Tamandua tetradactyla: one gene and its partners. The protein of the gene in region 3 purifies or fractionates together with the protein of the main gene of each other region. This does not show direct contact. Links are inferred from orthologs where the notes say so. Each region holds a gene or a part of one and is shown on either strand. Other genes may lie near its edges. The genes, in order: NOLC1, SMARCC1, CHD4 and ZMYM3.

Region 1 (6,901 bases), on a different chromosome or scaffold from region 3:
TCCTCATCCCGATCCCGGTCCCGGTCCCTCTCCCCCCCACACAAGAGATGGCGCAGGTGAGCTCTGATGGCCTGTTAGGTCCTCTCCATTTAGGAAGTTCATGTACAATGGTTTCTTTTGAAAGCTTTTGCACATTAAGTTTGATACTTTCAGGCACTAGGTCTTCCACTTCTGTCTTTGGCTTTTGTCTTTCCCCCCTTTCCTGAGTTGTTGAAGGAGGCAAACTGTGGGAAGATAGCTTCCATTCTTTGTTGGAGTTTGGGTTGTCCCTGAGGTCTCCTGCTTCCTTGAGACATGCCTTGAGGAGACTGTTAGGGTTTGCTCTTGACCATGTTGATTCCTTCACATACTTTATCAATCCTCAATTATGGCATTTTCCTGGTGGTATGGGAGAAGGTGGAAGAGTGGGTTAATTCTTCATTGGAAACAGTCATTCCCGAAGTCCTTTGGGTGCCTCATCTATTTCCTGGTGGTGTCTTTTAATAACAGATCCAAAATTTCCCACTTAATCAGTGAAGTTTTTGGTTTTTGTTGGCGGTAGATATCTTCAGAAGTGGCCCCTACTATAAGTCTAGCACAGTCACCTACCCTTTATTCTATAGTGGAGCAGTCCTATGAGATATGGTAAAGAAGGAGAAACCCAGAGACTCAGGTCTGGCTCCCAACACCACAGAGAGACCTAGGGCTCAGCCCTTTATCTCTCTAGGTTTCCATTTATTTTCTTTTTGATAACTCTTTCAATTTTGAATTGCACAATTGAAAATAAAAATGATTTCTGTCCAGATACTTTGTTTATCTGTGAAGATAACTGTTCTAGACCTCTTCTATTCTACTTTACCTCTGGTCCTGAACCTTCTGACGAGAAGTCAGGGCAGGAGCCGGGGTGATGCAAGTGGAGTATACCTGTACCACTTCCAGCATTTTTGCATGGTCCTTTATTCTCCAGGTCCAGCTGCAGTTCCTCTGGACGTTCCCGAAGATGTTCTTCCTCATCGTCATCTTCCTCTGCATCTTCCTCGTCTTCCTCATCCAGTTCCTGCAGCCGTTCCCGCTCTCCATCCCCTCGCCGAAGAAGTGACAGGAGGCGGCGGTGAGCGTGTGTATAGGATGTCAGTGGTACCTGGGCAGGTACCTCAAGTTTCGAGTCTTGAATTGATGTATGTCTAGGGGCTGATGGTACCTTTTCCTCCTGTCAGGTACAGCTCTTATCGTTCACATGATCATTACCAAAGGCAGAGAGTCCTGCAGAAGGAGCGTGCAATAGTGAGTAGAGGAACAGGTGATGGGACCTTGGACTTGCCCCTGAGTTACAAGCTTAGAGAGTCAACTACAGCTGACTGTCCTGGCTCATGGTATGTTGATTTTCCTTGTCCCAAAATAGGAAGAGAGAAGGGTGGTCTTCATTGGGAAGATACCTGGCCGCATGACTCGGTCAGAGCTGAAACAGAGGTTCTCTGTTTTTGGAGAGATTGAGGAGTGCACCATTCACTTCCGTGTCCAAGGGTAAGCTTCTGCCCTAAGGTTAGGATGTCCTTTCTGTCCCATTTAGCTATCTTGATGCTTCTTTGTCTTTTTCCCCTTGCTCTGGGACACCTTTATTTCCTCAGTCAGAGAGTTGGCTGGTTGGGTAATGAGAAGAAACCACCCCAGATACTCTGTCAACCTGTGCCCAAGTGGCCACTCCAGCCCATGCTTCACCCTTCCCACCAGTGACAACTATGGCTTCGTCACTTACCGCTATGCTGAGGAGGCATTTGCAGCCATTGAGAGCGGCCACAAGTTGCGGCAGGCAGATGAGCAGCCTTTTGATCTCTGCTTTGGGGGCCGCAGACAGTTTTGCAAGAGGAGCTATTCCGATCTTGGTGAGTGGAAAGAGGGCCTGAGGCTTTGGCACTCTTCATCACCTTCCTAGAAGTGGTCCCAACCCTTTGAGGGTGGAGCTAGGCAGACTTATCTTCATCTGACAAATGAAGAACCTAAGGGGTGGGATGAGAGGAGAAGTGGGGGCTTTGGTGTCTTTGACAGAAAATCAGGACACTTAAAGCTTCATCCATTATTGGGATGGGAGGTTGCTGGCCATTTGAGGACCCTGTGTTTGGGAAGTGACGGTCAGAGACCTCATAATCTTGAAATTACTGGTCTCTCTCCTTTTATAGACTCCAACCGGGAAGACTTTGACCCTGCCCCTGTAAAGAGCAAATTTGATTCTCTTGACTTTGACACATTGTTGAAACAGGCCCAGAAGAACCTCCGGAGGTAACCCTGGGCCCTTTCTCCCCTTTTTTCTTCGGAGGTGCCCAACCTCCTCCACCCCACCTCCCCCACTCTAGGGGAGAGAGCTGCTAGTGAGGAGATGACTGTTTTGTAAAGAAATGGAAAAAAAGTGAAATAAAAAATGTGTAAAATCAGATTTTTTTAAAGGGGTATTTGTTTTTTATAACAGGTATTGAAACAAGTTAACTTGCATTCCTGTGTAAAATGGGTGGAGCTGAGGGGTTCGCCCATTGTTGGAACATCTAAATCACTATGCAGACTAATAAAAATGAACTAGAGAGAACTCCCAAGTGCTCTTGTGTTTCTTTCTGTGGTGCTAGTGCCAAATATATTCACTTTTCTTTAAACACAACCAGGGAGATGCTCATTTCCATCACGATCCTAGGACCTCTCTGGTCAGGTGCAGAGTCCACTGGATTTGAATGTATTCTTTGAGAAATCAGTCATGGTGGTCAGTGCTGAAACTTCAAAGTCATTGAATCATAGGGAGCTCTTTTTAGAATGCAGATTCTTAGACCTTCTGGGATGGGATCTGCGTTTCTAACAAGAGGATGTTCCTGCTGCTGTCCAGGAAGGGCCTGCAATAGCAAAGACCTAAGGAAAGTCAAACTTATTCCAAATAAAGGTTCCCCAAACTGGATCTCTGGTTACATAAACCATTCAGTTTTGTTTACCATTTTAGCTTGAGCACAATGTTTGGTGCACAGAAAGTGCTCAGGTGTTTAAAGAATACATGCATGTGGACAGATGGGGCCAGCTTCTTTCTAGGGAACAGGGACACGGAGTTACACCTGGGGGGGGTGCCTGTTTTGAGAAAAGTAGAGTAGAGGGGTAGCCCATGAGGAAGTGATTCTTACCCTTCCTGATGTAATGCATTAATGGAAAGTGATGAAGGTTGGTAGGATTGAAGGGATTGCTGCCTGCTAATGTGAACTGAAATATGGCAGAAATTGGAATTTCTTTATGAACCCGAGGTTTTATATTAGTTACTCATGGTAACTAATTGGGCGGCAGTTCTCTAGTTCACAGTGTGAACTCTTATCCAGGAGGTAGCGGAGTTATTTTTAGGACTTGCTATGTGACTGGGTTGGGTGCAGGATTTCTCTTCATGGAGCTAATGATGAAAAAGTAATGGGAGGGGAGCTGCCTTATATCTACGGGAGGTGCAGGGACAGATCCTGTCGGGTGGTTTGGGGGATCAACAACCACCACCGATAACCTGAGGAATCCTTTGTAACGGAGGGGTGAGTTTGGAGGCTGAAGTGGTATCTGAGAAAAGTGTCTCATTGGGTGCTGGAGGCAGTGAAGATGAAGGGGGAACCCACTGAATGGGGACAATTGGGAGGGTTTGTGACCAAGTCTAGGGAGTAAAGGACAGCTTGAACCGGGCGGCCCATGCATTACTGTGGAATACCAATTCCAGCTGGAGACCGGAATGCCGATACTCTGAGAAAAGAACCTCCTACAAAAGTGTAACGCGCGGGAAACGCCGAGGTTTCCCGCCACGGCCGAGGGCGTGGCCTTTACGTCAGGGCTCCGCCCACACAAAGTGGCGGACCGCGAGCTCCGCCCTTACCATGAAGACGACACGCTTAGGACCGGAAGGAGTTTTCGGCTTCCGCCTTGACCTTGCCTCCGACACGGAGGCGGGACTGCTCTGTGGAATACCTGCCTTTCCGGTATGCGCCCGCGCGGCGTAATGACGTTACAGGGCGCCTGCCTACCTCCTGCAGTTTCTAAGTAGCACTGTGTCGACGACGGTAGTGACGTGTGTATCCTGGAATATGGCGGACATCGGCTTGCGCCGCGTGCTTCCCAGCGATCTGTATCCCCTCGTTCTCGGCTTTCTGCGCGATAACCAGCTCTCGGAGGTGGCAAACAAGTTCGCCAAGGCGACAGGCGTTGTAAGTCCCGAGCTTGGGGCACTGGACAGGGTGGGACGACCACAAGACTCCAGGCCCTGATATGCTTAGGGTTCCGAATAGGAAAGTCTCTGGGGTCTGCCCGCCTGGTCTCTGCGGAGGCCTTTGTGCCGAGCTCTCGGCGGTGGCAGCAGAGGGCCTGGAGCGTCGCGCCTCCTTTTCCTCGAGGTCTGAATAGGTAGTACTGAATCTTGCTGCTTTTTCTTGGTGAGCGGTGCATTGGCTGCAGCATGGGACCCGCGTGGCCCAAGTCACATGGGTTGGCGGAGTGCTGCAATGAAGGGTCACCGTACCCCACCGAAATCGTTGGCGGCCCTTGGTGGGCTTTTAGTTGACTGAGACAGAGCGTGACTTGACCTAATTGACGACTTCATTTACCTCGGACTCAAGGTGAATGAAATTGCTTCAGAAATGAAGGCTAGAATTTTCGTTAATAAAGAAGAAAATAAATTAGCGTAGAGGCAGGGTTCTGCTCTTGTTATACTGAAGCAGAAGGATTGAACCTCATAGCCCTATCAAGCAAACGTAACGGTGGATCTTTGACTTAGCAAAGATACCAGGTCTACCATTAGTAGAGTGTAGCTTAGGCAGCTTGCTTGATCTCTCTGAGTCTGTTTCTATTTATACAGAGATGCTGTTATCCACTTTGGGGTTTTTTTGGTGAATTTCCGTAAGATGATATATACTAAGTTCTGTACAGGAAACATCAATGATTGAAAGCTGTTCCCTTAGCTATGATAACTTAGAATTGTTCCAAACATATATAAGAGGACGATGACCAGGATCTGAAAGGTTTGGAATCCACATATCAGGAAGAGCACCCTGGGGAAACACCTGGAGAGAGATTAGAGTGGTAGTTTGCAGTGTAGACATTACACGACCAAGAAGGTAGTCTTGTTTTTGTAGCAGAACCAGGCTGTGAAAGAGGGCGATTGGCTCAACCTCAGAAAGAACTTCCTTAGCTGGGACACAGTACCATGTAAACTTATATAACTGCTTTCTTATTGGAACAGTTTTGAATTGAATGTCAGGGAGGCTGCAAAGAAAATTTCCATAATGGGTTGGATGTAATTGGGCCTTTCAGAGTCAGGATTCTTGGGTTTTACAAGACAAAATTAATATTTGTGGAGGGATAGTGAGGGGCCAGCTGTTAAGCCCTTTCACATGCATTATCTCTTATTCTTTGTATTATTTTGGGGGGGAGGGGTGCATGGTCCAGGAATTGAACCTGGGTCTCCTGCATGGAAGGCAAGCATTCTGCCACTGAACCCCCCATGCACCCATATTATCTCTTATTCTTTCTGCAATTTAATGAAATGGATAGTATTATTTCCTTTTTTTAGAGAAGAAAACAGTCTCAGAGAGATTAGGTAATATGCCCATAGTCACACAGCTATAACTGGCAGAGGTGGTTTCATATCTATAGTTATCTGACTGAATCTGCACTCTTGTTTGTATTGTAATGCCTTACCATCTTTTGGAATCAATTTATAATCTATATGAGTGCTAATAATTGAATGCAATTCTATACTGTCTGTATAGCAGTTATTTACCAATCTTCTCTTCCAGTGATTTGGTATTATAAACCACATTGCCAAAAACACCCACTTGTATAAATGTTTAATTTCCTTGTTTCATGGGTAAGGATAAACTCCAAATAAGACAATGGTAGAATAAAGGAAATGCATGTTCTTTTAAGCCTTTCATATACGTGGTGGTGATGGTGCCATAAAAATCTCATGAATAGCCCAAGTATTTGGTATCCAAAATTGGGAAATACGCAAATAGATCAGATGTTTTTCTCCTGATTTGTGCAAGTAGACATAGTAATATGTACCGTTTATACCAAATGTAGTTGGGATTAATAGGTCACATTTAATGAAAGAATAACGCAAAACATGATCCTTCCTTGAAGAACCAGAATAAAATTTCCTTATCCAGTTCTCTCTCTTTTTTTTTTTTTTTACAGACACAGCAGGATGCCAATGCCTCTTCCCTTTTGGATATCTATAGCTTCTGGCTCAAGTAAGCCTTCCCTCTTCCACTTTGGCTATTTTTTCTCTGTGGCGGGCTGAGTGAGCTGTGTTCCTCAGTGTTTTTTATTCCTTGTTAGGCTGTGTTCCTTGGTTTAGGAAGGTCCTGATCCCCAGAAGTTAGTCTAATGTATGTCAACAGGTCTGCTAAGGCCCCAAAGCGGAAGTTACAGGTAAATGGACCGGTGACTAAGAAGGCTAAGAAGACTTCATCCAGTGACAGCAGTGAGGATAGCAGTGAGGAGGAAAAAACCCAAGGGCCTCCAGCTAAAAAGGCGGGTAAGACAGGGCAGGAGGTTGTGATTGGTGATTCCGGGAAAAGGATTTGTGGTTAGTGTGTACCATGTGCCTAATTTTTACTTGGATCTCTGCTTTTGTTCAGCTGTGTCTGCTAAGCGGACCACACTGCCTCAGCAATCTGGGAAGGTTGTGGCCAAAGCATCAGAAAGTAGCAGCAGTGAAGAATCCAGTGATGAGGAGGAGGAGGAGAAAAAGAAAAAGTCTGTCCAGGTGTGCAGCTTTAAGAAGGGAAGGGAGTTAATTAAGAGTTTAGAAAGGAAGAAACCTAGAATCCTGGCTTCTAGTGACCAAGGGGTGGTGGTGGGTGCGGAATAGGTTAACTATGAAGAAGAACCTGGGGACTTTCTGAGCAATGATCAATATGTGAAGTGT
Region 2 (7,763 bases), on a different chromosome or scaffold from region 3:
AAAAACATAAGGTCAAAAGACAAAATAATAGATTGGAAAAAATAATTCGTAATACAAAGGGTTCATATCCCTAATATATAAGCAGGTTTTACAAATTGCTAAGAAAAAGAAAAACCACCCAAGGAAAAACTGGGGAATAGGTATGTTAGGTTAAGGCTATGAAAAGGAAATTCAAAAGAACAATGCAGATGACTAATAAACACATGAAGCGATAGCTTCACTGTTCGTCAAGAAAAGGCAAATTATAACAACAGTGAGAAACTAGTTTTTACTTATTAAATTAGCAAAATTTGATGATAGCATTCCATGCTGGTAAAAATGTGTGGAAGAGAGTATATAGGCCCTCTCATATATTATTGTTGGGAGTATGGAAAGGAGCAGTGTTGGGAAAAATAATCTGCCAATATTTAATAAATTACAGACCATGTATGATTTAGAGTTCCACTTTTGGGGGCTCTATCTTAAAGAATAAAAACACTAGTTTATAAGATTATATGTTAAAGCTATTTAATGTTGCACTGTTTGTAATAGTAAAGAAAACAAAACTGGGAAACAACCTGAATGGTCAAGAATAACAGATGTTAAATGTTGAAACAATAATTTCTACAGAATATTAGGAAGTGAAACTGGAGGAAGACCTGCGATATACTGCTAAGTAAAAAAGATTCTATCGCAGATTATGTTTATATTATCTTCCCATTTTCATTTAAAAAACAACTAAAGACATTTATATACATCTTTTAAAAAATGGTACCAGTAATGTCATGTTTATTTCATACAGTTGCTGAGATTTAAACTGCAGCTGCGATGAAAATGCAATATAAAATATGCAGTACTGAACGCAATAGCAATGTTTACTTAAAACCCATCACTGAGCACACCAAGTAGACATATACTGCATAGAAAAGAAGCAAAGAATCTTCTGGTTAGTGTTTTCACCACTCCCAGAGGGGACGGAATTCAACTGACTATGAGGACTGAGGGTATACAATTTTGAATCTGAGTAGGCCCAAGGTGCTTTAAGAAGCCAAGAGAAGTCAAACCTAACTTTATCTTTAAGGTGATAGGGACACTGAACAACATTAATCACTCTGGGACAAACCATTCAGTAGGCCTCACAGCCATTTCTGCACCCACCCAAACAAATCTCTGAAGGATTATCATAGTATGAAACTGTTCTTCTAAAGTTGGGTGGAAACCAACGCACACTATGTTTTGGGAGCTAAAAGTGACTATTTGCCATTTTCTTCCTTGATATCCAAATACCTCCTGGGTATTTTTCTTTGTTAAAGCTACACTGAATTTAAGACTCAAAGCATTAGCTGAAGGTGACCTGATAAAAGAATTAACTACTTTCACAATATATTTAATTCCCTTACAGCGCATCCACAAGCTCCACTGATTAAAAAAAAAAGGGGGGGGGGGCAGACGGCAATTTTATCATCGTAAAATAAGGGATAAACATATTCCTGTCTATTTATGTGTAGATGAGAAAAACCTATAGTTCCAGATGTGACTCCAATATTTCAGGCAAAAAAAGTCAAGGCATTTACAACTTATTGTCTCTCACATCCTGAAACTTTAGATCAGAAATGTCATTTTTGAAAATATAGCAGTGTAATGTCAAAAGAGCCTAAGATCCATGCCCATGCCCTAACAACTGCAAAAGGGTGACCGGCTTCACTGTGGAGACCCCAAATAAGTAAATTCCTAGTCTAATTTATCTGTTCATTCAACAAATACTTACAATTATTAAGGGTGAAGCACTGAGTACTAACCATGTTGAAGGAAGGACACACTGCAGTGAACAGGCCTGACAAGGCACCTGACCCTGTGCTATTGTCCTCAACGGAGAAACGGAAGAATGCGTTCCAAGAAATGGGGGGGTGGGGGGGCCCTGAAGGAGAGGTGTATGGGGCTTTCTTCATTATACCCTCAAAAAGAATCATTCCTGAACATTCTCTTAAAGAAGTAGCTAAAGAAAAAAACCCTTTTATTATAAACAAGATTTAAGTCTAAACTTCGAAAAACAATGCTTCAGTGGAAATCACATTCCAAAGTCGGAGACAAATTGGTAAATAAAAAATAATTTCAAAAAGTGGTAAACATTAGAAAGTAAAGGTGATATGAAGTGGGGTGACCTAATATAAATGGGGTCCTTAAGGAAGACCTCAATGAGGACACATTAAGTACAAGAGAACATTAACTCTTATCCTCACACCAGAAACTTCAATAAAAGCATTACATAACCAAAAGCACAATGAAGTAAAAACCATCATTTTTAAAAAAATATTAGTACTCATCAATACTATAACTCATTGTATTAACCTGCTGTTAACTACTGAATACAAGAGTCCATAGTTCTTCTTTGGCAAATAAACAAATAGTCTCTAAACAAAACACGAAGCTGGTTCACCCAGTTCATAATGATCATTGTTCACACACCTATGCAGCTAACAAAAGAAGATTCACGTTCTCCCGGCTACTGAGCTCGACCTATTCTTGCAGCCTAGAAAGAGAAGGGGATTTCACCCCGGCGTGTGTGAGTTCAAAAGAAGTTAGTCAGGCCCCGAGCTCGCTGCAGCCGAGAATGGGTGGCGGGGGCGTGGCAGGCCCGGAACCGGCCTTTGTTGTCCCTCGTGGCGTGCGGAGGGGGAGGGGCGGCCCGAGGCCCACGAGGCAAGAAGCCGTCTCTGGCCCCCGGCGCGTGACCTCCCCGCTACTACGGGCACGCGAACCTACCTTCTTGTAGTGTTTGCCCAGCCACACGCGCACCGAATCCAACTGGGACACGGTCTCCGGGCTCTCCCAAAACTTGCTGACTGGGCCTCCGTCCTTCCGCCGATAAACAGCAAGACCTGCGGCGGTAGCCGTCCCTCCGACACCCGCACCGCCCGCGGCCGTCGCCGACCCACCGCCGCTCGCTGCCGCGGCCATCGTCGCCGTCCGTCGTCCCCACCGCCCGGCCCGCCCAGGCCCTCGCGGCGCTGCCCTTTCACAGCCACCCGCTCACAGCCGCACCCGCGCGCGCCGCCGCGGCCACCACCGCCCCCCGGCCCCGCCCAGCTAATCCTCTTCCGGCGTGGATAGCCAGCTCCGCCCCATTTCAGGACGGGCGCCCTGACGCGAGCACGCGCATACGCATGCGCAGAACGTGTGCCGGGCGGGTGACCACTGACAAGCACTTCGACCCGCCACTTCCGCCCGCCGCGGTTGGCTGCCGACTGTCTGTGCCGCGCGGTTTAGGCCTCTGAGCATCTATCTCCTCTCCGGCTCCCGTGTCAGATAATTGTGCGGTCAGAACCCGCATAGCCGTTCTATTTCATTGTCTGCCACCGTCGGAGAGAAAAGGCTGGGTGTCAGAAGTGTCGAGGGGAAAGTCCGTTGAAGATGTCGAGTGCCGACAGAGAGACCCACGTGTGGGGTGGGATTCTGCGTAGGTTGCCCTCTGGCCCTCTACTCGGAGCGGCTACGTCGACCTTTGTAAACGTCCATCAGGGTCTCCATTACCGGAACTGCTTACGCTTCTTCGGCCGTCCGCCTTCTTCCTGGCTCTAGCCACACCAGTTTATCTAACTTCGCTCTTCTCTTATGTAACGTACGAAACTGAGTGAGCATCTTTTTTATGCTTTATCAAACTCTTCTCCAAGTTTGATCAGCTTCTAACATTTTATCCTTTGCACTTTCCATATCATGAAAAAGTTCCTTTAATGGGAGGTTTTTTTTACCGGCATCACATCCGTTGAGACATCCTCATCTGTTTTTTCACAAACATTTTCTTCATTATGTGGATAAGTTTGACTTCACTACACTCCTCTGGCTGCATATAGAGTCTTTTTGGTACTGTCAGTGTCAGTATCCCCTTGTCAGCTATTCCGTCTATAATATCATTTCTGTTTGAATTTCATGTCCAGCTATCACTTCTCATTTCTTCGATGCATTTTCATCTTTGTTCCCTCTTTTGATCACTCAGTAGGGAGGCAACACAATAATATGCCTTGCTTGCTGTGTGTGAACTGAATAACAAATGCACAGTGACTAGTCACAGATTTTTTCTCATTCACATTCAGTATTTTTATTTAATTTTCTAGCAATTTACATACCTCACCACATCTTTCTTTAAGTTAGTGTGACTAACTTAAAGTCACACTTTAAGTTTATTTTCCATGATAAACTACTTAAAGAGACACTTTGGTCAAGAATGGAAAAATCACTGCCACTTTTAAAAACCTGACACTTTCACCAATTATATTCAAACAAAAGCATACACAATAAATGCGTGCTATATACTCAATGTTTCCTTGCAACTGGCTTTCCTACCGTCAAGCAAATAACTGCACACAGTCAGTCAAGGTTTATCATGCTAGATTCCAGAGGTTCACTCAGCTTCACATTATTTGAAGTCCTAAATAGAAAACTCTAAAGCTCTTGAAATCCCAAATTTCTACGGCCACATTGATGCCAGTGGTGCAAAACTTGTGACAGTTTGCTTGTCCACCTCATAAACAGACACTCAAGTGATGCTATTCTAGTGTGGCAACTCCAAGGTTGTACGGTTCTCAGTTATGGTCCTCTTGTCCGTTTTTCAGAACTGTTTCATGGTGCTGGATGCTGTCTTGGAATGTCTAGTTTGGAGACAAAGATTGAGCAGCTGCAATCATGATAGTTAAGGCACTGGGCAGCAGTCATGGCCAACAGCTACGACACTAGTCTTGGAGATATATGGTACACTCAGGAATATCAGGAACTCCATTTTCATTTCCATTTTTGGAAACTTGCATTTTTTGTTGTTGTTGAGGCATCAGCAATGGACATGGTGCTGTTACAGCTTACCCAGGCAAGATGACTCCCACTGGGAGAGAGGCTGACCCTCTGGACCCAGTCACCAATGCCGCCACAACCAAAGTCTGACATCAGCTGACCAAAAAACATCTTGCTGTCCTATGGTATACAGGCTGGTTTTTTATCCACTTCTTTAATGTAGGCAGAAAACACTCTGCATTTGAAGTGGGATACTCCTACTGTAAGCAATAACAGTGTTAAGCTGAGGACCATGGAAGGACTATGCTTTTTAACATGCTTGCTTACCCACTAGTCATTTTCAGATACAAAGTACCAAACAGAAATGAGTACTGCTCCACTTCCCACAGCAAATTTGTTCTTTAGAGTGGACCACTTCATAAAAGTGGCTGAATGATTAATTCTCAGGATCACCAGGGTTTGCTTCCAGCCATTTTTCTAATTCCAGACACAGGCATTGAGGTCTAACCTGCAAGTGATGATGCATTTGCTCTAGGGAGCTGTTTTAGTTCACTAAAGCTGCTGAAATGCCATGTACCAGAAATGGGCTGGCTTATAACAATAGGTATTTATTAGTTTACAGACTTACAGTTCTGAGGCCATTGAAAATTCCAAATCAAGGCATCAACCGGCAATCCAGCGATCTTGAAGTCTTTCAGTTGAAAAGACATGGCAACATCTGCTGGTCCTTCTCTTCTCAGTTTTGTTCCTTTCAGCTTCTGGCTGCCCAATCTGTGGCTTGCTTTCTGAATTTGTCTTTTGACTACTGTGTCTGAATTTCATCCTCTTACGAAGTTCTCCAATAAAAGGATTAATAAGACCCACCTGGGTTATACATCAACTGAAATAATCTAATCAAAGGGTCCCACCCACAGCAGGATTAACACCTACAGGAATGAGTTAACTTTAAGAAAATTATCTTTTCTGGGGTCCAATTCAACTTCAAAAAACCACAGAAGCCCAGTCAATACCTATGATGTATTCATTGTGCTCCTAGAGTTCATGAGCTTTCACCCATTGACTACCATTCTTATAGATACGGACTTCGAGGTTATTGAAGTTAAGGACAATGCAGGTATGATCCTCGGTTCAGGCATGAATGGTGACTGGATCTGGTAAGTATTCAAAGGGTAGAAAGCTGGACTAAGGCAGACTGGACAAACTTTGAGTGGAGAATTTGTGGACTTTGGTCTCTCAACATGAAAAGACTCTGGCTTCACCAACAGATTTTGAAACAAAGAAAAGTGGCATGATTGGTCATTCATTGATCATGAGACACATCTGTTATTTAGATAGTGACTTGTGGACTGAAGAGCTAGCAGTGAAGTTTACATTTTATATAGTTACACTTAATATACTATGGTAAATGAAGTGAGAACTATGTTGTTGGGAGACTGGTGTTATATAATTAAGATTTATGCATGTTAGAACTGTGCAAAGCAAGGACAACCTGCATTTAACATGATGTCTGTAAACATTGCAGAATTGAAGAAATGAGTCCTCAAATCAAATGTGCACACTGAATGCCATGGTGGACAAATAAAAATGAATACTCATTGGGACATGGTGCAATGAAACGGCAGAACATGAAATACAAAGAAAGAAACCTTAAATGATACCAGAGAAAAAAGATACTAAACCTACAAGGAAAAGAAATTCAACAGCATTCTTCCTAACACTAATAGATGTAGACAATGGGATAATCTTCCATTTAATGAGGAGAAAAACTGTCAATCTAGAGTTGTATATCCAGCTAAACTCTCTTTCTAGACTGAGGATAGGATAAAGGCATTTACAGTTATGTAATGAATAAGCAATTACACAGCAACTCTTACTGAAAGAACCTACTATACTAAAAAATGTACTTTGCAAGAAGAACATTTAACCCTGCAGAAAGGAGTGGGATATAATAAATAATGACACACGCTGATATTAGTAAAATATATTTCAAATTTTAATTTACTATTGACTAGTAAAATACCTTTTTATGCAGAAATAAAAGAAGGAACAAAAACCTTAGGTAAAAATAGAAGGTTATACAAGGCTGTGTGTCATTTATGATGTTTTTGGCAGCAAGGAACAGAAACCCTGACTCAAAACTGGTTTAAAGTATAAGGAATTCTATTAAATTGCAAAGGAGTAAGCCCTCAGGTAGGACAGACCTCATAGGTGATGGATTCAGGAGCTCAACAGTGTCATCAATGAACCAAATTCTTAACATTTCTGTTTTCTGTCCTCAGGGTAAGCCTCATACTCAGGTTTCTAGCAATATGGCTGTACCAGTACTCAGTAGGTCTCAGGAAACTCCTCTTCATGTTTCAATGACTACAATTGAGCAATTTTTGTATTTTTATCCCTGGCAAGATACAATGCCTTCTGACATAGAGTTAGGCCAGATGAAAGGTACAGTCCTCCGAAAGATTTCCCATGCTTCAGAAACTAGCCACAAGGTCAGGGAAGATATCCACAGCCACCCTGACTTTGGATCAACTGGCTATAAATTTGGTGGTTCCCCTGCCCTCTCAGGTTTGATAATATACTATCATAAGTCACTGAAGTTGAAGAACTGCTATACTTACAATTTTATTATTGCAAAAAAAGGAAACAAATAAGAAGGAGCCAAATGAAGAGACCCAAAGGACAAGAACCAGAAGCTCCATTGTCCACTCCCTGTGGAGTCAGGACATATAGCCATCCTGGCACATTGATGTGTGACAATATATAGAGTATTATCAGCCAGGAAAGCACACCTGAATGTCAGTGTCCAGAGTTTTTATTGGAGTTTCATTACATAGGCATGATAGGCTGAATCATCGATCAGGTAATTTAGCTCAATATCTAGTCTCCCTCTGCTTCCTTGATGTTAGGGTCAAAATCTGAACTCAAATCACATGGTTGGTCTTTCTGGCATGGCCAGCCTCCATTCTGAGACATCTCCTTAGCACAAATTTGGGGCTCACCAT
Region 3 (6,966 bases):
CCCCAACCCGTCCCACTCAGCCCAGGATCAGGCCAGGCACAAGAAAGCCCCTCCCATTCCCTTGGGAATGGAACACCAGCCTGGATCTCACCAGAAAGAATCATTTTCTTAAGGGCTTCTCCCCAGCAATCCCCATGTCACCCCCTGAATCAGCTACATCTCGGTTCTTCTTCTTCGCCACCTCCGTAAAAGCTGTAAGTAGAGACAAGGGCAAACCCATGGAGGCAAAGGGGCCACCCTTACATTCCACATGCGACCCCAAAACTTGTCAGGCAGACAATATGCTGATGTGGCAAGTGGCAAACTGGCTGAGATATAGACGAAGATTTGGGAAAGGGGCAGGAATGGGGTGTGGCAAGTGGAAAAACTGGGTCATACTACAGCTTGGGGCAGAGTTCACGCTGCACAGCTCCCAGTCAACACTGGGCTGCCCCACACCAAGTGACCAATGGGAGGCCAAGAGGTAGAAGCAACAATGGCTCAATAACATTATTAATTCTCATGCCCCTCACAGAAAGGACAAGCTCTCCTACCACCACAACCACTCTACCTTGGGCAACAGCACAGAAAGTTACCACCCTACCCAACATAATGATAAGACTCAAGCCTATGAGACTCAAGCCTAAGTTTTCTATCTCAACAACTGAAGTCTCAGAAACATGCAAAGAAGACACCATGGCTGGTCCCTCGCTTTAGTGACCTCTGGCTGAGATGAAGACTTCCAACTTAGAAAATGCCAAATGTGGAAGCATGTCTCCCAAATCACCTCAACTTCCGGCTGGAGCTAAGACAGAAAACAGAAGTGAAAGACATTAGATGGGAAATATAAACAGGATCGGCAGGCTCCAGAATGAGGAGAAAAAATATAAGCAGAGAGGCTGAAGAAATGGCATGTAGCAAAAACAAGCTAGAAAAAAGGTCAAGGACCAGTAGGTAACTTAGCTAGGAGTTCTGAAGAAAGGAAGACAAGAGAGATACCCACTTAGGAGCATGAGATCAATCATCATTTAAGGATAGACAAGGTTATAACCATTCGAGTTAGGCCAATCCAAGGAGCCACCCCAAAACACAGATAACACAACCCCCAACACACCTACATAAACACTGCAAAACACCCCAACCACCCCAAACCTCAGGCTACTTACACAGTGGCAGACACCCCGAGGAACAAAGCCAGAATTATGTCCACTTGCCAGAGGAGGAGGGGTGCCCAGGGTGTCGCCTCCCTTCTTCTGCCCCACCTATTTTGCTCTTAGGGCTATTATATCATCCCCTAGCCCCCATCTCCGCTCAAAACATTCCAGCAATCTGCCTGGCTATAAGCACTCTAGATCCCGGCTGAGGAGCGCAATTCAAACTTCACCGTTGAAACAGTACAGAAAGCCAGTGACTGATCAGAAGCTAAAAATCAAATAGAGAGTAACCAGCACTCTCTCCTTCCTTTCCACAGTAGCAACCATAGGATCCTACTAGCACAGATACACACATGCCCCAATCTAACAGCTTCCAGGGGTCCCGGCTACCTGCATTCCTCCAAGGATCCCCACATGTAATCATGCCTGCCAGTCTGCAGCGCTCTCTCCATGGGGAACTGCATAGCATTCCTCAAGACCAGTGCAGCAAGCAGGCATCCACGCAGTCCAAGGTGCCCAGGAGGCACATGGCTTCCACCATCCCAGCCCCCCACCCCCCACCCCCCACCCCACAAGAGCTCTGCAGAAGGGAACCGCTTCCTTCCAAGGCCCTCCACCTCAGACTCTGCACAGAAAGACCAGAAACTCAGCACCGCTTCACCAGAGTCAGCAGGGAGGACCCAAAAGCCTCCTTCCCATCCTGGACCCTTGGGGATGATGTTACCTGGGTGGGGTGGGGGCAGGCTGTTGTTCAAAAGTGCATCCATATCCTCCTCTTCACTGCCCGCTGAGCAGGGGGACGGGGAGCCCAGGCCCGACGCCATCCCCTTCCGTTCCTGGCCAGGGAATTGGCCCAGCTGCTCCTGCCTGCGGCCTGGGGCCCTCGACACTGGCCCGAGTCACTGTGCGGGGGAGGGGGGAAAGAAAGAGAGACAGTCAGTGACGCGCACTGTCCCCCTCCCCCACACCCACCCGCTCTTTCCGCCCACCAGCTACAGCAGCACCCCCACCCCAACACCCGAACCACTCAGGCTGAACTTAGTTCCACACTCCTCCTCGGGGGCAGCCCGGAAGCCAGCTCCCCAACAGGAGCCCCCAGATGAGAGGGAGCGACGCCCCCGAAGGCAGGCTGGTGCTGGCGTGGGGAAGGGAGAAACAGGGCTGGACCGGGCAGGGTGTGACGGGGTGGGGGTGGGGGTTGGGGGCGTCCGAGTGGCCGCGGCCGGAGGAGGCGGGCGGCGAGGCGCTCGGGGACACAAGGTCACTTGGGTGGGGGGGGCGCTTTCCTGCTCCCGGGGAGGGGCCAGTCCCCAGACAGGGCAGCTCTCCAAAGGCTGTCCTCTGGGACAACTCAGGTTCTCCTCAGGAGCCGCGGGGACAAGGGGGCGTGGAAGCTCGGGCGCTCCGGGGGTGCTGGAGTCAGGGACGTGGGGGCAAGAGAGCCCCCAGCGGGAAGGGGGCCGGGCCACGTGTCCCGGGGGGCAAGTGAGCAGAGGGCGAGGGGACCGGCGCCGGGCATTGTGGAGGACCAAGCCCGGGGATGAGGGTGCGGGAGCGAGACTTGGAGCCGGCTGCGGCGGGAGGAGGCTGGGCACCCTGCAGGGAAGGGAAAGGCAGGGTCGGCTCCCCCGGACAGGGGGCGGTCCACGGGTCTGGGGGCGCCTGAGGATAGAGCGGGTGAAGGGACGACCCTCGGGGCTTGCCGGGCTGCGAGGCGCGTCTCTCTAAGAACCCCGCGTTCTCCTCACCCCGGAGCCGCTGCAGGTCGCGTAGGGTCCGGCCCGGTGTCACTCCCGCTCCAGCTCCTCCTTGCCGCGGCCGAAGGGGGGAAAATGGCTCCGGCTCCGGCGTCGCCTCTTAAAGGGCCCGAAACACCGGCCGGGAAATCCCACCGCACAGGCCCCGCCCCCCCGCGGACAGCCCATAATAACCTCAACCAACTCCAACCCCCCCTCCACTACCGCTACCCTCCTCCCTAGGTCTCCCGGGCAACCCCCGCCCCCTCGTCGCTCAGGCAACCATTGGCCACGCCCCCTTCGAGCGCGCGCGCGCGTGTCACCCGGGCAACCGCCCACCTCTTGGCCATCCCATAATACACACGGACACCCACCCCCGACCCCCACACACACACATTACACACACACTCCACACATATATATGCCAGGGCTGCTGACATCCCATAATATTGCAGACCATTTACAACTAACCCTCTCCCCCCCAGACATCCCATAATAGCCATCCTTCTGCCAACTTCTTCACTCTTCACCCTAATACTAACATCCCATAATAATCGTCACCTCTCCCTCCCCGTGGCCATCCCATAATAAGCACCCCTCCCAGCACTGGAGCCTTACATCCCATAATACTCATACCCATCCCCCACAGACATCCCATAATAACCACTCTTCATCCACCCCCAGTTTGATATCCCATAATAGTCAGAAATTCACCCCCCTACACACACTACAACAACGGACACTGGGCCTCCTCCCACACATATCCCATAATAATCAGTCTCCCACTTTTTCTACTGACATCCCATAATAACCAACCCCCTAGAGCTGCCCTAGGTCCCTGCCGGCTAGGGTCTAGATAGATCCTTTCAACACCATCCCCATCCTTCATGCTCTCACTCTAGCTCCACAGCTTATAACATCCACTCCTCCCCTATAAAAAGTTCTATCCCCTGATGATCAACAGCCCTACCGCCACCGGGCAGGTGGGCATCTAATCACCTTTCCCCTAACACTGGAAAGATTTCCCATAATTTTATTCCCCCACTCATACCCTGACATCCCATAATAATTGCAAGCAAGGTGCCCTGGGTCAACCAGTGGGTACCAAAATACTCCCAGCACTACTCAACATCACTTTCCACAATGCTTCATCTCCACCCCACCACTCCTATACCCTTCTGCCAGGCATCCCATAATATTCATGTTCATCCCTCCCCATCTCCTGAAGAAGCTGTCTGTTCTAACACCTAGAGTACAGAGGGCAAAGCAGATTACCCACACTGCCCTGTCCCCGCCCAAAGTTGTACACACTTTCAGCTCTTTCTGGGCCAAATCAGTACCCTAGCATAAATCCTCTTAATGTCTAGAACCCTAGTTTTTTGCTTCCTGTTATTTCCAGACAGACACTAGAGATCTGAGAGCCAGCATAGGGCCCCACCCAATCCCACTAAAATCCAGGTATACTCCATATTCATCTCCTGCCCTTAAACGTTGAGTAAAACTGACAAAATACCATGCTTGCCAGATGAACCATTACATAAAGTTTAATTCACAACATGGCATCCTATAATAAGTGCAAAATCACATCCAAAGACTATTTTTCAACATGCCAGCAATGTCATTGTCTTCCCATCATGATGTGAACGAAGACCAAGAGCTAGGACCTGCTCTCCTTCTACTTACTACTTACTACTATTTGTGTTCATTCAACAGATGTTGACAGAGCACAGAGCTCAGCACAAAGGGGGATGCAAAGAAGGCAGTTGATGCCTCCCTTTAAGACGCATTACCAAACAAGCAAACTGTGACACAAGATAGAAATGTTTTGGTGTCAAGGAAGAACGACTGAGTGCTATTTCCCAATTTCCCATTACAGAGAGTAAAACACATCCCAACTCGTCTCAGGACAGATGCTATCTTAGTGGAGGTTCTTGGGGGTCCTTCTAGAGTCAGGAAGATATTGAAAAATATTACCATGTAGATGAATGGCCAAAATAATCTCCTAACTATTCCCTACACACTGAGAGATTTTGATAGGAAGGCAATGCTTCTCCATTTACCACTCCTAATACAAAATTCTATAATATCATCGCGGGTTTTCTTCTTGAGAGACTCATCAATATTATCAACCATTACCTTCATTCTTGAACACCAAATTCTGCTTACCCAGTAAGTCTCATATTTTTCAACCACTTTCACATTTGATATTCTGAAGTCTCACAATACCTCCAATTGTCCCTGCCCCAATCTTCTTGAGGCCCCATTCTCCACCTAAAGACCTTAGTTGTATAATGTTCACCGTACCTACAAACATCCCAGGATGCCTTCCTCAGTCAGTTATACTACAAGGTAGCCTCCCAACATATTCCATTTTCTTCCTTACCTGCCCCTACCCTCTAGCCACCCTGGGGCCCCAGCCCTGGAGAGTCAAAAGAGCTGTTTTAAAACCTTTTGGCCCTCGGAGACTCTGAACCCATAAGCCTGTCACTTTCCCCTCCTCCCAAGCCCCAGAGATGTAAGACCTGAGCGAGAACCAATGTTTCAGCACCACTGTCTTGGGGTACCAGCCCCTTCCCTTAAGCCAGAGATAGTGTCTTCCTGGACTCCCATTTGTCTTTTTCACACAGATCATAACTTATATAGGGAGGACAGTCTGAAGAGAAACTAGAATTCCCTCCTAGGAGGGTTCCTTCCCAACCAGAAGTAAATGGGATGACTCTCCCTCCATCTCTTCATTGCCCTTATTTCCCTAGAGAAAGGGCATTACCAGATGATTTTCCCCTCCTTTGGAAACTTAAGGACTGGGAAAACTGGCAAGTAGAGATGAGTTGAGGAGAGGTGAGAGCTTGTTTCCAGAATTTACAATCCTTTTGCTTCCAAGCAGAGCACCAGTGCTGCTGCTAAGTCTTCCCACCTGCTCCTGCCTATTTTGTATAACCACCAGCATTCCGTGTTTCACTCTCTTCTCACCTTAGGACTGGAGTTTTCAACATCAAAGACCTCAAGTCTTGGCACTCACTACCACCTTTGTAGTTCCTATATTCTTTTTCTGACATTTGCTCCAACTCCCTGGACACTCTGTTACCATACCTATTGTAGCATGCTTCCACTGCATGCAAGGCTACATAGAATCTCTCTCATTAAATTCTCAACATCAAGATTAATCCCCATTCATTTTTCTAAACTGTTCCCCATGCTTATACCAGACACTAAGAATGAATTTTGCACTCCTCACTAGGGGGAAAAGGGGCATCTCCCATAAAATGGCTAAATATCAGTTTACCTCTCTTCAAGGAAGTTTCTCCTTTGCATTTAGAGCTGCCAGATACCTATTTTTGCCCTCCTCTCTCCCTGTTCCTCTAAGGGATCCAGCCTGTTTCTGGACCTCAGCTTCCCTTCTGTAATATCTCCATCTACCCAATACCCTTTTCCATATATATATATACCACTTTACCACAGTGATTCACAATAGAAATCAGAGTTTTCGAAGTGGGGACTCACAGCCTCTTGCCCATGATTAGAAATATTGTTCCCATTTACCCACTGTACTCCCTCTACCCCATCCCTGCAGGTACTACCTACTTATTCTCTCCCTTCCCTTACTTCCCATTTCCCCAAAACCACCACAAGGAGAAGGCTAAAATCTCTTCCTCTCCTAGCAAGGGCTAGGATATATGTTTGTGTGTTGCTTTTGTGGTCTTCATGCCTCTATGCCTCCCCCTCCCTCCCCTGGCCCCATACTACCCTCCCAGATAAATTATAAATAAACCACCAGCTTGATTGGCCCACAGAGACCAAGGGTGGGATAATCTCCTGATTAATGCACCCAGGGGGACAGCCTCTCTAGCCCGTTACCTTAGAGTTCTGTTTGCATCCCATGGTACAGAAGAACCTAGAATAACACTCCGAGTGAGTTGCCCATGGAGTTTTCAGCATATGCTCTAGATTTCCTCCCCCTACACCTCTGATTTGCGTGAGACCAGGAAACTCTGTTCATGAGACGGAGGCCTAAGGGGCACAGTGTTGGGCTCCATGAAGAAAGGGGGATTGGGAAGACAACATCAGGAAGAAAAGCCACAGGGACAGTAAGCTCTGAT
Region 4 (7,825 bases), on a different chromosome or scaffold from region 3:
GCTTCTCACTCGCCTTCCCAGTCAGGCCATCTCCTGCAAAGGAAGCAGAAGGTAGCCTAAATCTTGAGCCTGCCCTTGCCCACCCCACCCTGCCCCAACCCCCACCTCCCAATTCAGGGAAAGAACTTACTCAAAACTGAAAGGGAAAACTCGAGTGTCTGTGGCTTCTTGGGGCCCCTCCCCTGGTTACCTTGGGCTCTGTACTAAGGGGGCAGGGCGCAGCTACTCTCTATGAAAACAAAAAGCACCCCTACCCTTCCCATCAGCTTTTCTGTCCTCAATCATTGGGAGTTAAGGAAACACAGATAACACACCTTTCATCCAGAATTTGTTTTACCAACAAAGACAAATGCAACCACCCAACAGCAGCAAGGGGGAAAGGAAGTACAAATGTATGGGTAGGTTCCTCTGGCCTCAGGTGGTTGGTTATATAAAAGCCCTAGGACCCTGGGCACACACAGCCTGGGAGAGGAACAGGACTAGGCCAAACAGGGGAGGAACTGGAGCTTCTCACGTTCAGGCTGCCCCTCCCACATCAGAGACACACTCTACATTTCTACCATTCTCCTGAAATCTTTATGCTCTTGGTGGCTCCAGAATCTAGTTGTCATTCATCAAACCCAGAAACCCCACTCCCATTTAGAATAAAACAGTTGCAGAGATCTTAGAACCAAGAAGCCTATTTTCTTCCCTAAATCCTGAGGGATGGATCCTGGCACCAAAAGCCCATTTGAGTAATAATAAAAGGGAACATCTCCCATCAAAACCACTCCCCCCAACCCACCACCCTGATACCTCACCCCTATCCCTCCCTCCACACCCCCTGTGCTTCCCCTCACCCCTACTTTCCTTCCTCTTCTTCACCACATCCCCACTCCTCCCTCCCAAACCTCCGCCTTCTTACCCCCTCCCACACCTCTACTCTTCCCTCTCCATTCTCCTCCTCTCCTGCTTCTTCCCCCAAACACAGAGCCACTCCTCCTTACACCCACCCTCTCTGCCCAGCCTCAATTCATCATCTGATTAGGCAACCTACCTGGCAAGGAAGGGTGTGCAGGGGGGCTGGGGCCCCTAGGTTTGGTCTGAGAACCGTTGATTCCATCCCCCAGAGTCTCTCCCACTGAAGGACTGGGGGGGCCATTGGGGCTCTGTGGCTGCCCTCGGGGAAGCTCCTCCTCCTGCCCAGGGGGATCCCTTCTCCCTGTAGTAATGGAACTGGTCTCCTCCTCTTCAATATGGGGAGACTGCAGGGTTATTGGAGAATCTGGGGCCAAAGGCTCTAGTAGCCCCTGGGGAGAAGAGGGGTTTGCCCCAGTCCCTGGGTCAGGTGGCACCACCTCAGGGGTCTGGCCCCCTGGTCCAGGCTCTAGGGTCTGATCCCCTGCATCCCACGCAAGGGTCCCCTCAGGACCATGGTCCACTTCTGGGGGTGAGGGGGCTTTATAGAGCAGCCCCCCCAGCCCCAGCAGCTCAGTGGCTCCACCTAGGACTCCAGGGTCTTTTTCCAGACCAGCAGGGGTATCAAGCAGGTCCAGGGCTCCAGAGGATGGAGAAGGGCCAGGGGGGACCCATCCTCGAGTCGGGGCAGTCTGGGATTCCAGCAGATCTTCTCCAAATTCCATGTCCACTGGAAGGTCTCCAGCCAGGGGTTTCTCTGGCAGGGTCAATGGGTCAAATGGACTGGGGAAATCACTGGGGTCCATGAGGAAGGCCGGATATGGGCTGGAGATCAGGGGTACAACAGAAGGCAAGTAGAGGTGGTCTTAGCCAGAATTCCTTCTCATGGAGGCTCTGAGACACACCCCAACATCCACTTGGATTTCACATGAACAGCCCCCATCACCACAACCAAAAAGCATTTCCACAGGCTTTAGTCCAAAAGACCACTCCCCCCCTCCCCATACAGCGCCCCCTGTGGGGAGAGGCGTTCCCCGCCCTGGCCCTGTGCCCACACTCAATAAGCCAGTGGGTCATTCAACCGCCCGATTGCAACCCCCACCCCCGACTGCAACTCCCACTTCCCCTCCCCCCTTACCTTTCAACCCCCCCCCCCAACTCGGCCTTAAGAGTCTCCTAGGGCCTTCGCCACCCGGAGGCTTTCCCGCCCCCGCGATCTCAGTTTCTATTTCCTTCCCATTCCCCTTAAAGCCCCCCCAGCTCCCCAGTCTTTACCCACCCTGTCTAGCCCCACCCCCCCTCCCCGCGTAGCATGGTCCTCCCTTGGCCCTTCCCCCGCCCCCACAAACTGCCCTTCCTAACCCCTCCCCCCCAATTACCTTTCAGGGTCGCCCACTTCCTCAACCCCGTCCCCTTTTCCTATTGCTCCCCCAGTCCTCCCTTCTCCTGTTGCCCACCCCCCACCTCAGGCATTTACAGGAAGACATTTTGGAGCTACGATCTCTCCTTAGACCCCCCTCCCGGCTACTGCGAGCTCCCGCCTGCAGGTTCGGTTCGGCTGGATCAGGCCCGACCCCTACCTGCGGCAGGGTTAGTGTAACCGCTACAAGCCTAGAACTGCAGACAGCGATGGCCCCGCGCTCCTTCTCCACCTCCCTCCCTAGCAGCCGGGACAGGGGTCGCGGCCCCTTTAAATGGCAGCGCCGCTCACAGCGCCCAGCGCTCTGCACCAGGCGGGCGGGCGGCGCCAGCAACCAACCCCATTGGCTGGCTCGAGGAGGGGGCTCGCGAGACAGCGCCGGCCCCCGGCGCGAGACTCCCAGCCCAGTGGCCGCCTGGAAATTGCGGAGTGGAGTTTGGTCGTTGGAGATGGAGCTTGAGCCCCCGCCCGGGGCCCCGTTAGTTGAGCAGGAAAAGATAGCCTCTGGAGCTTTGAAGCCCGCCCCCGGGAAAGGCGTCGCCCCCTTTTCACCAAGGGGCCGAGTACACTAACCCACAGAAAACACAGATCTACGCACCTGCTTCCCTTACCTGGCCCAAGAGTCTGGCCCCCGTCACACCCGTGCCCGCCCTACCTCCTGGAGCCCACTCTACCCGTGATCCCCTCCTCTCATTCAAATGGTTCCCGGTCCCCTCCCCCTCCCCGTGTCTCTCTTCTCTTCCCACTCGTGTTCAACCCTCCGGCATCCGCCCCCCCTCAACAGTCACTACCTACGCCATGCAGCAGGCGCCTGCCAAGCTTACCCTCCCCCCATCCCCACCTCTCCGGGGCCTGCCCCCGGGGCGACTGTTGGGGTAATGAGTGACAGCAGAGGGTGGAGGGAGGCAGGGACCCAGCCTTCACGTGCCCCTCCTCCCCTTGTCTACAGCCTCGGGCCCCCCTAACCAGTCGAAGGGTCGTAGTTTTGAGGCGTCTTAAGCTTGGTCTCCAGCCACCCCGGGCGGGTTAAATGGCTCTGGCTCAGTGTCAACGCCTATGCAGTGACCATTATTGCTGATGCCCCCCAAATCCAGGCCCTGCAAAGACACCCCCCCCTACACACACACACACACACTCCCTCAGCGGTCTTAGGGTAAGTTCTAGGATCTTCTTCCTGAGTCCTCCTACAAGAGCTCCCTGCATTATCTCTGGAATAGTTTTTCTCACCAGGGCCGATAGCCCTCCTCCCTCCCTTTCTGTCTCCCGTCTGTCTGTCTTTTGCTTCCACTCTTTCTCCCTCTCTCTTTCTGTCCTTGTCTGTCTCTTTTTGCTCTCTCTCTTCCTCGCGCGCGCTCTTTCTCTCTCTCTCTCCCCGGTCTCTTTTTGTCTCCGTCTCTGTCTCTTCTATGCACGAGCTTGCATGCGTGTAAATACACACGCACTCACACACACACGCTCCCCCCTCCTGGATGGTCCTTAACATGTGGGTGTGGCTGAGGTTGAGGCTAGAGAGGTGGGATGGGGGGAGGGGGCACTAGCCTTAGGCCAGGGCTTTAAACAAGTGTGCAAGGATCCTTTCTCAGTCCTCATTATAGTTAGAGCACTTTACAATCCCTGCTTCTCACCTTTCCTCCCCAGCTCTTAAGGGGTATTTAATAGCTGAGATATTGGAGGAGGCTCCTGCTGGAAGGGAGTTCAGCCACAGAACTTGTAGGCTTGGTGGCTGGTATTGAATACTGTAGCCTGACTCTTTGCCCTCGGGACTTTTCTCCTTCCCACCCTAAGCCTCTCCTAGCCTTATAGTCCTCCCAAGTTTTATCCTCCCTTTACTCATCCGCTTTTCCAGAAACCTTATCCCTCCCAGTTCCTCACATGGCCTTGAGGTTATCTTTGCTCTTTCCTATATACATATAAAGACAAAAGCAAAAGCTTTTTTTTTCCTTTTAAATTTCACAACTGCAGCTTTCTCCTTATCTCAATCAGTGTTCTGTGTACCCATCTCCCACCTTCTGCTTATTTCTATGTCCTTGTGCCTCCCTGTTGTTTTTCAGTTTGTTCCATCTCAGTTGGGCCACCTAGTTCTTTTGTATTATCTGTGTTCCTCATGCTTGGATCCTTTGCTGTTCTGGTTGTGGAGAGTGCTTTGTCACTAGCTTTCAAGTTGAGAGGAGAAAATGGAAGGGCAGTTAATGGTGTATTATTATTTCTAGAGCTGGTGTGGTGTATAAAGTGCTTGAGTTCTAGAGTCAGCTAGACCAAAATTCTAATCTCAACTCAGCCTGCTTTCTAGCCAGATAACTTGGGACAAGTGACTTGTCAAGTCACTGGGGTTTACTTTTCTCATCCTTAAACAGAGGTGAGGAAACAGTCTTAAGTGTCCAATAATAGGCACTAGGTTAAATCAATTTAGTTACTGTCATGCAATGTATGTCATCATTAACAACCACATTTTGAAAAACCAATTACATGCAAAAATACTCATAGAATATTAAATGTCAAAAAGGAGTTAAAATATCCTAATTTTATAGAAAAAAATCTATTTTTACCACGTATGCATACGAAATGACTGGAAAGAAATACATCAACATTTTTAGAGTAATTATGTGTGGTTGGAATATATATGAGTTTAAAAAATAGTTTCTTGCATTGCTTCTCTTTATTTTCTAAATTTGTCTACTAACACATATTGCTCTTATAATCAGGAGAAATATTAACATTTTAAAATGAGGATATTAATACCTACTTTGCAGGGTAAAGTAGGAAGGAAGTTTGGAAGGATTAGAAATAATGTGCCAGGCACATGATAGGCTTTCAATAATTTGTTTTCTAAGGAGCCAGTGTGCATAATAGAAAGAGACTTCCTTTTTCAGTCAGAAAGATAAGGGTCCAAATACTGATTCTGTGATTCAGTACTTATGGGACTATTCTGAATGTTAGTTGTCCACAAACATAAAGTGGGGATAATAATACCCATAGGCCTCATATCCATAAAGGGACTATTTTTTTTTTTTAAGTGGAAAGTAATAAAGTGCTGACGAGGATGTATTGGTTCATTGTTAGTGGGAATGTACAATGGTGCAGCACCAGTGGAAAACACCTTGGCAATTCCTCAAAAACTTAAGCATACGGCTACCATATGACCCGACAGTCCCACTTCTGGAAATTTACTTGAAAGAACAGAAAGCAGGAATTCAGACAGATATTTGTACACCAATGTTCATAGCAGCACGAGTCACAATAGCCAAAAGGTAGAAGCAATCCAAATGTCCATCAACAGATGAATGAATAAGCAAAATATGGTATATACATACAATGGAGTATTAGCCTTAAAATAGGAATGAAGTTCTGATGCATGCAAAAACATGGAAGAACTTTGAAGGCATCATGTCAAGTGAAATAAGTCAGACACAAATGGACAGATATTGGATGATTCCACGCATATGAAATAGCTAACAAAACTTGCAAATTCATAGAGACCGAAAGTAGAGTACAGGTTACCAGGGGCGGGGTGGGGAGAGGGGGAATAGGGAGTTGATACCTGATGGGCGAGGGATTTCTGTTTGGGGCGATGGGAAAATTCTGGAAATGGATGGTATGAAGGGAGTGCAACATTATGAATGTGATTAATCCCACTGAATAGTATGCTTGGGAGTGGTTGAGATGGGAAAGTTTATGTGGTATATATGCTACCATACAGGTACAAAAAAACAACTAAGGAAACAATGACAAGTAAATAATCCTGAATGAGGTCTAATAATGGAGGAGTAAAGGCCCAAAAGGACATTACTGAGACATATGAAAAAATTGGAATATACTTATAAGTTTTATCTCAATGTCAAATTCCTTGAAATTGATCATTGTACTTAAGGTGGTTACATAAGTGAATCTCCTTATTCTTAGGCAATATATGTGGGAGTATTAAGTGTTCAAGGAGCTGATATATACAACCTGCTTTCAAAGGTTTAAAAAATAGATAAATGGGTAGATAAATGGACTGATATGCTGAGTGATACAGCAAATGTAGAAGAAATGTTGAAAATTGGTGGATCTGAGTATCTAGGTGTTGGAGTTCTCTGTGTGGGTTTTGTGTTAATTTCGCATCTGTCTTGTAAGTTTGAAATAACTTCAAAACTAAAAGTTAAAGAGTAAAAAAATAATAACTCATAGGGATGCTATTGAGATTAAGTGAGATGTGACCTTTGCCTGACATATAGCAGGTTCTCAATAATGTTGGTAACTATTATCTTTATAAAAGAAACATGTAGCCAAGAGAGATCAAATGGAGTCAAGATGCTATTCTGGAGGTTGCTCTTATGCAAGCTTTAGTTACATAGTGCTAATTGCCATGGTTTGCTAACCCCCAACCAACATCACTCCTGTTGACTCTTAAAAACAACTACGCTCAGACTGAGACTCTATAAAAGTTTCATGCACTAAGTTTGCTTTCCTGGAACCTATAACTCCAGGAGGGTTCTTAGGTCAGATAAATCCTGAAACCCAGAGGGACTAGCCGGTCCAAGATAACCAATTAATTAGAGTCCCCTATTTTTAGTGTCGACCCCTTTCTGAACATGAAAAAGTTAAAACGGGTCTTGTCCAAAGATCCCTATAGATTGGGAGAAGAATCAGAAAAGAAGGAGGAGGTGTAACAGAATAGAGGATTTAACAAATGAGTTATGATTGCTGAATCACTAGTTTTTAAGTATTTTTATTGACAAATATTCACAAATGTACAGTCCATACATGGCGTACAATCAATGGCTCACAATATAATCACATAGTTGTGTATTCATCACCTTGATCGTTTTTAAAACATTTGCATCACTTCAGACTATAAAGTGTTCTAGTTTGCAAGCTGCTGGAATGCAATACACCAGAATGGGACGGGCTTTAAAAAGGGGAATTTAATAAGTTGCTAGTTTACAATTCTAAGGCCAAGAAAATGTCCTAATTTAAGCAAGTCTATAAAAATGTCCAAATTAAGGCAATCACAAGAGGTTACCTTAACTCAAGAAAGGCTGGTGAAGTTCAGGGTTTCTCTCTCAACTGGAAAGGCACATGGAGACCATAGTGATGTCTTCTAGCTTCCTCTCCAGGCCTTTTGCTTCATGAAGCTCCCCCAGGGGCGTTCTCCTTCTTTATCTCCAAAGGTTGCTGGCTGGTGGTCTCTGTAGTTCATGTGTCTCTGCTGTTCCTGTCATCCTCAAGCTTTCTCCAAAATGCTTCCTCTTGTAAAGGCTTCCAGTAAAGTAATGAAGACCCACCTGGAATGGGTGGAGAAACAGCTCCCTCTATTCAAAAGTTAATACTCAGAATTAGGTGAGTTACATCTCCGTGGAATAACCTAATCAAGTTTCCAGCCCATAGTATTGAATAGAGGTTGAAGAAATGGTTGCTCCTGCAAGATTGATTAGGTTTAAAACATGGTTTTCCTAGGGTACATAAATCCTTTCAAACCAACACAAAAGAAAGAAGCCTCATACATCCCCTTACCCTTACCACTCCCTC

Evidence for each region.
Region 1: the proteins of CHD4 (region 3) and NOLC1 purify together in Homo sapiens (affinity purification with mass spectrometry, with the first as the bait; 3 studies listed by BioGRID). This does not show direct contact. The link is inferred for Tamandua tetradactyla from reciprocal best matches to the Homo sapiens genes CHD4 and NOLC1.
Region 2: the proteins of CHD4 (region 3) and SMARCC1 purify together in Homo sapiens (affinity purification with western blotting; 6 studies listed by BioGRID, with this or other methods). This does not show direct contact. The link is inferred for Tamandua tetradactyla from reciprocal best matches to the Homo sapiens genes CHD4 and SMARCC1.
Region 4: the proteins of CHD4 (region 3) and ZMYM3 purify together in Homo sapiens (affinity purification with mass spectrometry; 3 studies listed by BioGRID, with this or other methods). This does not show direct contact. The link is inferred for Tamandua tetradactyla from reciprocal best matches to the Homo sapiens genes CHD4 and ZMYM3.

What each region holds. Positions count from the first base shown.
Region 1 is NC_135339.1:64,002,884-64,009,784, forward strand, and holds the start of NOLC1 (nucleolar and coiled-body phosphoprotein 1), read left to right. Parts: upstream 1-3,883; 5' UTR 3,884-4,058; coding exon 4,059-4,178; intron 4,179-6,165; coding exon 6,166-6,221; intron 6,222-6,328; exon of another isoform or gene 6,329-6,357; coding exon of another isoform or gene 6,358-6,371; coding exon 6,372-6,508; intron 6,509-6,611; coding exon 6,612-6,739; intron 6,740-6,901. Other genes in the region: PPRC1 (peroxisome proliferator-activated receptor gamma coactivator-related protein 1), read left to right, coding at 1-56, 947-1,090, 1,197-1,263, 1,382-1,503, 1,711-1,862, 2,157-2,260. UniProt on the Homo sapiens protein: Nucleolar protein that acts as a regulator of RNA polymerase I by connecting RNA polymerase I with enzymes responsible for ribosomal processing and modification.
Region 2 is NC_135341.1:38,772,706-38,780,468, reverse strand, and holds the start of SMARCC1 (SWI/SNF complex subunit SMARCC1), read right to left. Parts: upstream 3,013-7,763; 5' UTR 2,938-3,012; coding exon 2,743-2,937; intron 2,621-2,742; exon of another isoform or gene 2,446-2,620; intron 1-2,445. UniProt on the Homo sapiens protein: Involved in transcriptional activation and repression of select genes by chromatin remodeling (alteration of DNA-nucleosome topology).
Region 3 is NC_135333.1:68,890,032-68,896,997, forward strand, and holds the start of CHD4 (chromodomain-helicase-DNA-binding protein 4), read right to left. Parts: upstream 3,008-6,966; 5' UTR 2,882-3,007; intron 2,301-2,881; exon of another isoform or gene 2,089-2,300; intron 2,036-2,088; 5' UTR 1,958-2,035; coding exon 1,858-1,957; intron 1,642-1,857; exon of another isoform or gene 105-1,641; coding exon of another isoform or gene 92-104; intron 1-91. UniProt on the Homo sapiens protein: ATP-dependent chromatin-remodeling factor that binds and distorts nucleosomal DNA. Acts as a component of the histone deacetylase NuRD complex which participates in the remodeling of chromatin.
Region 4 is NC_135353.1:100,364,075-100,371,899, reverse strand, and holds the start of ZMYM3 (zinc finger MYM-type protein 3), read right to left. Parts: upstream 3,004-7,825; 5' UTR 2,929-3,003; intron 2,618-2,928; exon of another isoform or gene 2,478-2,617; intron 1,723-2,477; 5' UTR 1,704-1,722; coding exon 1,037-1,703; intron 34-1,036; coding exon 1-33. UniProt on the Homo sapiens protein: Plays a role in the regulation of cell morphology and cytoskeletal organization.